Linked DNA regions of Schizosaccharomyces pombe. The protein of the gene in region 2 interacts with the protein of the main gene of each other region in a pairwise test. Each region holds a gene or a part of one and is shown on either strand. Other genes may lie near its edges.

Evidence for each region.
Region 1: the proteins of SPOM_SPBC16G5.17 (region 2) and rrn11 interact in a two-hybrid assay, tested with the Schizosaccharomyces pombe proteins (one large-scale study listed by BioGRID).

What each region holds. Positions count from the first base shown.
Region 1 is NC_003423.3:1,234,846-1,238,190, reverse strand, and holds rrn11 (RNA polymerase I transcription factor subunit Rrn11), read left to right. Parts: upstream 1-1,709; 5' UTR 1,710-1,823; coding exon 1,824-2,180; exon of another isoform or gene 2,181-2,294; coding exon 2,295-2,540; 3' UTR 2,541-2,686; downstream 2,687-3,345. Other genes in the region: GTP-binding protein Nog1, read left to right, coding at 1-1,307; MBF transcription factor complex subunit Res1, read right to left, coding at 2,816-3,345. UniProt on the Schizosaccharomyces pombe protein: Subunit of a multiprotein complex essential for the initiation of rDNA transcription by RNA polymerase I. Binding to the DNA template is dependent on the initial binding of other factors.
Region 2 is NC_003423.3:4,245,652-4,249,410, reverse strand, and holds the start of SPOM_SPBC16G5.17 (transcription factor), read right to left. Parts: upstream 1,820-3,759; 5' UTR 1,594-1,819; coding exon 1-1,593. Other genes in the region: regulatory protein ntu1, read right to left, coding at 2,551-3,759.

The DNA of each region.
Region 1 (3,345 bases), 3.0 Mb from region 2:
GTCATTTTGATTATAAATATTTGAGATGGCAAGTGATTGATACTCCTGGTATTCTGGACCACCCTTTAGAGCAAATGAACACCATTGAAATGCAATCTATTACTGCAATGGCTCATCTTCGATCTGCGGTTTTATATTTCATGGATCTCTCGGAAATGTGCGGTTACAGTGTTGCTGCACAGGTTAAATTATATCATAGCATTAAACCCCTTTTTGCCAACAAGGTTACTATTTTGGTTCTCAACAAGATTGACGCCATGAGGCCTGAGGATTTGGATCAAAAAAATCAAGAGCTTCTTCAAACCATCATTGACGACGGTAATGTTAAGGTGGTTCAAACTAGCTGTGTTCAAGATATCGGTGTTATGGATGTACGTACTACCGCTTGTGAAGCCCTTTTGGCTGCTCGTGTCGAACAAAAACTTAAGGGCTCAAGGGTTAACAATGTTCTTAATCGCATTCATCTTGCTGAGCCTGCTGCTCGTGATGAGGTTGCACGACCAGCTTGCATTCCTGATTCTGTTAAAACTCGCCGTGCATATGATGCAAATGATCCAAATCGCCGTATACTTGCTCGTGATATTGAAGCTGCAAACGGAGGTGCTGGTGTCTATAATGTTGAATTGCGTGACAAGTATATTCTTCAAGACCCTAGCTGGAAATATGACCGTATGCCTGAATTATTGGACGGTAAGAATGTGGCTGATTTCGTTGATCCTGAAATTGAAGCGAAGTTATTAGCCTTGGACGAAGAAGAAGAACGTCTTGAGCGTGAAGGATATTATGATTCTGACCAAGAAATTGAGGATGCCGATGAGGAAGAGGTTCTTGAAAAAGCAAGTAGAATTCGTGAGAAAAACAAGCTGACTATGTTGGCTGCTCGCCAGAAGAAAATTAAAAATCGTCCTGTACTTCCCCGTACCGCTGGCATTCGTACTTTAGACGAACTACAATCTTCCTTACAATCTGCTGGGCTTCCCTCAGATTCTATTGAAGAGCGGGCACGCTCCCGTGCACGTACTGCAGCAGCAAACGAAATGGCTGATGGTTCAGGTGTTGACTTGTTAATGAATGAAGGTGAAGAAATTCGCTCTAAATCTATTGCCCCACGTTCACAAAGCAACCGTCGCGAATCTGGTGTTCACGCAGAAGGTGCCAGATCTTACGCTGATCGCCTGGCTCGTGTCAAACAGATACACCGTAACCGCATGGCCAGGGCTTCTGAAAGTGATCGACATGTTATTGCTGCCAAGCCTAAACATTTGCTTAGCGGTAAACGTGGTAACGGTAAAACTCAAAGAAGGTAGAATAATGGTTTTGGACTTGGGGTTCTTTTTTTATATAAAACTTTAATATTTGGTTGGTTATTTGGGTTTGGATAATATGGGTGGACTTGCAAGACTTTCTACCTACATCCCTTTTTGTTTCTTCACATAAATTACTTTTGTTGGAGGATGTTGTCCATTAGGAAAGAAATTTAATATATTTCAAAGCTTTTGCTTAATGTACTTTCAGTTGACAATTGAAGCAGTTAATTATGTAGCCGTGCATAACAACACCTGTAGTTTTTGGCTGTAAATTTTATGCTGAGTAAATAGATGAAAGTAAAAAGAATGAGTAATTAAAATCTAAAGTTAATCAATAGCTAAGGTTGATCGTTGTTGAACAGAGAGGCAACTGTCGTGCTCAAGTGCTAACTGCTTTAAGATGCCAAAAACCATACCCTTGCAATTAGCAAAATAATGCTAGATTAAAAGGTTATAGTTAGATCAACTATGCTTTGTTTAAATAAGTAATACTTATAGCTTGATTCTGTTATAATCATGTTCTCTCCTTGTACCGTTAAAGAAAAACGTTCAACTTTGCGAAGTGTCGCTCCCAACCCGGAATCTTCTGTTATACCTCCAATTCCTTTACCATCAAGAAGGTATAAAACAAGACATATTGATGCACTTTGTTCGTTGATGCACCTTTGCTTATTGCGCAAAGATTACCCAAGGGCATCTAGGGCTTTTTCATTACTGTTGAGATCTAAGAGTGTTGACATTTCCAAATTATGGAACATTGGACTTGAAATTTTGAACAAAGTTAATCCAGAAGCTTCATCAGAGTATATGGAGCGACTAATAGCTCGATATCCTGCGCGTCCATCCATTAACAACTCTTATCCGAATCGTAATGTAAGTGTATACTGGTACAAAACGTCTATACTTTCATCTTTTCGTGTATTGAATTTTTTGTCCCTTCTTATTTGAAATCAATCATATGTCGCAATTCTATACTAACATTTACAGGCAGAACATTTTTTTCCAGCATATATCATGCTACTTATTCAGCGCCAAGAATACAATAAAGCTATGAAGTTGCTTGATGAGTATTTGCTGTTACCACCCTACAATCAGAATCCTGCATTGCATGAGTATTCCGGAATGTTGTGTTTTGAACTTGCCAAGGAGGAAGCTTCAGAATCTGAGCGAACTAAATGGATTGAAAAGGCGAAATACAACTTTTCAAACGCAGGAATTGACGTCGAATTGTAGATTTAACATTCCCATGGCATTTCAAAAAGCACATTAGTATATTTAATATTTTAGATTGACCATCAGAAAAATTATGTATATTAGCAAATAATAAGATGGGAAGATACATTTAAATTTAAATTTAAAACTAATCATTAGATAGCCAACGACTGTATAAAAAGATTGTTAAATATCTATAAGTTCAAGTTGGTATTTATATAAAAAACATAAAGAATGCAAAAAATAAGATAACGAAAGAAAAAATTATTTTGAATAATAATTTAAAACCAAAAAAATTAAGATCCACTTTGATCTGTATTAATCGTATTATACATTCCCATAGAAAGCAAGTTCAAAATTTCGTTAATTTTCTGTTTCCGTTGCGCTTGCAATGAGCATAATTGCTCAACGAGCTTTTCACGAGCAGCTTCGTTTTCAGCTGTAAAAAGATCAACTTCGTGTTTTGAGCTTAAAGACGAACGGTTCGTTTTAGTATCATGACCAACAAGGTTTTTGGTCTCCGAGATATCAGCTAACTCATCAGTACTCCATATTTGAGAAAAGTAAGTTACGTATTTTTTTAATTGATGAAGCTGAACTGTTTCAAGGTAATATCTAGCAGTTTTCAATGTATGCAGAAATTTTTTACACTGGTGAATCAAATCCTCCCGCTGATTTACCAAGTAGTTCTCGTCATTATTGGTACGTTCATTCCATAATCTTTGGCAAGTTTCAGTTTCCCGAACTGTTTGCTCCAACGCCTCCATTGCCAAATTATAGGTTAGTTGTTTTTCAGCAAGAGATGCTTCATGGCATTTTGAAAGTT
Region 2 (3,759 bases):
TTCTGAGAGCTCTGGTTCTACCGAATTGATTGTCGTGTATATATTCAGAACGTAATGAATCCTTTCCCATACAATTCCCGGATATTTCTTTTCCTCAAGGGTAGCCTGTACTGATGCAGTTACATTCCAAAAATCCTTTGGGACATCGTAACCCCTTTCGGAACAAACATGTATTATAAGAAACGTATGTGTAACTAAAATTAACATTGCTTTCAGCCAACCGTATTTTTCGAAACAATCCATTGAATTGCTAATTAATCGTGACAACTGTATCGATGTTTGGCCAAGCTTTTGAACAATATCTGGATAATTGGGTACTAAAGTACGGCTCACAGTAATAAAACCTTGATAAAGATTTTTACGTACTGTCCAAAATACGGTTTTGAGAAATAAATAGCGAAAATGAATATCTGATCCATCGATATTAGAAAACTTCGACTCTATTTCCATTAAAACCAGCGATAGTTGACTTTCATAAAACTGAATAGAGTTAACGAATTCGTTTACAGTCGAAGTATGAATAGCTTTATATATTTCCAAACCACAAGTTAACAATTGCCCGAGTAGTGAGTGAAACTCATAACTAATAACATCTGAACCCATTTTTCGCTGAGAGAGAAGTTTGCCGTAAATATCGTGCTGAACCCAAGGCTGGCAAGATCGTAAAACACATTCCAAAGCATCTATCTCACAAATCGAAAGCCAAACCTCCATATTTGCTTCATACTCGGTATCAGTATTTTGAAAGATTGGATTAACAAAACATGCGTAATGAATTGCATAACATAGATCAGTGTTCATACTTCGAAACTGGTTTCGCATGCAAAGTTGCGCCCTTATAGCATGCAGTCGAATTCTGTCAATATTTCTCCATAGTCGAAATATTACCTCCTCATTTAAAAAGTCATCAATTTTTGAATTTAATGCATCCGATAGTTCAATGGCGCTATGATTAACAGCCGAAAAGTATCTTTCAATATTTGAAGGAAAGGATTCTAACGAAAGTGCTACCGCAATTGCTGTAACTATTAAAATAATAGAAGTCGCGAAAACATGGTTAGAATTTTTCAGATCAGATAACAATTTATCAGCTTGCTCAAAATCTAAAATATAATTTGTTACATTAAAAGTATTAGCATAAACTTTTAAAAGGCTTTCGCATACATCCCAAGGAGGGATAGTTTCTAAAATACATTCTAATCGTTTTTTCAATTTAGGATCCGTTTCTAAAGCTTCTCTTAAACGTGATTCTGGATCTCTCTGAACAATACCTTGAAATTCAGCCGAAGATTTCAAAATTGTTTTCCAGTCTACGAATCCAAACTTCTGGGTTTTAGGGAGGTTGTTTTCTTCCAAACGCGTCCGAGTCTCTTGATGAGCAGAACTATCTGTTTCTCTAGTAATTGGTCGGCTTAAAGGTTCTTCAAGAAGTTGGACTGCTTGCTCGTTTACTCCATATGTACATGATTCTTCACTCTCTTTACATCGAGAACAAGGATATTGGCGGTCACATTTGACTTTTCGGCGCCTGCATCTCAGACAAGATCTAGCTCGAATATTTTTGTGGGCCCTATTTTTAGATTTCCCAACCATAATTTACCTAATTACGGTATTTCTTCTGTAGTAGAAAGTTGGATATTTCTATAAAATACAATTCACCATAAAAAATTATACGCACAAACTAAAGGTTTCATTCAGTATTAACCTGATAACCATCGAACTTTTAAGCTGGGATTATGCTTCAATTGAATCGATGAGACTACTAATATTTTACTGCAAACATTTTTATGAATGCAAAGGCGGTGTCAACGTTGTGTGGTGGTAAATATTGAGTGTGCAGGCTTAATTATTTAAATTCTTCAACGTCTAAAATACAGTGTAAGCATCAGATCTCGATACCATTTTTTTCGCAGAGCTTTTATTTAGAAGATTTTTATAGGGATCATTTTTTTAGCCTAGATGCCAAAGGTACTCAACAATACGTTCCACAGTTGGGTTTGCAGTTGCTTACAAAATAAACAGCTAATTGTCATTTTAGTAATTATACATTCCATCGTGAAAGAAAATGCACACTATTAAAGTTTTTAGTTCATCAATTGCTTTGCAGTAATCCATTATAATGTAGAACTTCAACGTAACTTTACTCCAAAATTTTTAGCTTTTAACACTACTTGGTTATTCATTGCTGATAATAATGCGCGTAAATATCACTAGCTAATGGACATGAAGCAGTAGGCTAACTCTCTAAGCTTGATCAAAAGATCAAAAAGCAAATCTATCACAAACATCTAGGAAGACAGATAATCTAGATATTCAATCGTTCTATTATTCAATAAACATAAAAAGCTAATCATCAACCAAACAAAATATCACTTAATTAAAAGGAACAAAAAATAAGTTTTTTAAAAATGTCAATGTTTTTTCTCATGAGCAAACCCTAAAAGTTGGAGCTAGAACCCTTATTAAAGATAAAAAGTGAAGCAAGAATTATTGCAGAAAAAAAAATTTTGAAAACAAAAGTGAGTTTCTATGCTTAACAACATTGATCGCTCACTCGGTTCTTTTAGAGTTTGAGGAACTTGGATGGTCAGGAGAATTATTAGAACCATCTCGGACAGTAGGATAAGCAACTTGGTTAGTCATGGAAGGTGGTTGAATGAAGGGATACGGCATGCCAGATTTTGCAGCTCCAGGTGCCATCATAACCCCTGAAGTAGGCAGTGGTAGCATTTGTTCTGACAAGGGAAAAGGCGGGTGCTGGTAAGGATACTGTGAATATGCTTGGAAAGCCTGAGGCATATTCGAAGTTGGACTCATGTATGGAGGGTATGAAGTATTATACGGGAAAGGTACTGGAGAATAGGTGTTCGGAACATAAAAACCATTCGCTGTTGGCATTGAAGAACCATAATTAATCATAACCCTATCATGAGGGTATACATTACCATCAGAATAGGAAGGATATCCGTTTTGTCTAGGATAAGATTGATCCTGTGTACGCCCACCATACGTAGGCATAGGGAAATTTGTTGGTGCATTTTGAAACTGGGCAGGATTATAGTAACCTGGGTAAGGAGCATCTGAATAAAATATTTGTGCTTGCGGAAACTCTCTAGGTATATTACTAGTTCTCTGCGAAAAGTTGTTTGGTAGTTGTCCTGTAACATCCGGGGTCGCATCCAAATTTTCAGTACCAGATGAGTTCATATCATACGCAATTAGCAAGTTCTTGATTGCCTCCATTATTGTACTATAGTAAGTGGATTCGCGGTATATCATTTGTAGACAATGAAATCCTAATCTTGCCTTAGTTATGAAATTATTAGATTTATTGGCATCGTCCTTCGTCAAAGTAGCACAATATGTCAAGGTCATTAACGCGTAGTATCCAGAATACAAATTGAAAAACAGTTTGGGAGTATTTGGAGATTTGGCCAATTCCTGTAACAAAAAAACAACACGCTCCGCAGATTGTGCACACTTTAAAGCAAAATTTGCAGGTTTCATTGGCGACCCATTCTGATTATCAATTGGTGTACTAATACTGTGAATAAAAGGGCGATAGAAAATGAGTTCTATTTGCCTGAATTTCAATTCCAGTATTATTGCTTGGATCCATTTGGGTGAAAATTTTGGAACTTCGCTCATTTTTAAATAAGAAGGTAAGTTTTTCCACCAATATGTAAGTTTTTCTTCATGATCACGAACAGCTGGTAATGAAACTTTACAGTGTGAGTCAGAGGGCGATTTGACTGGATA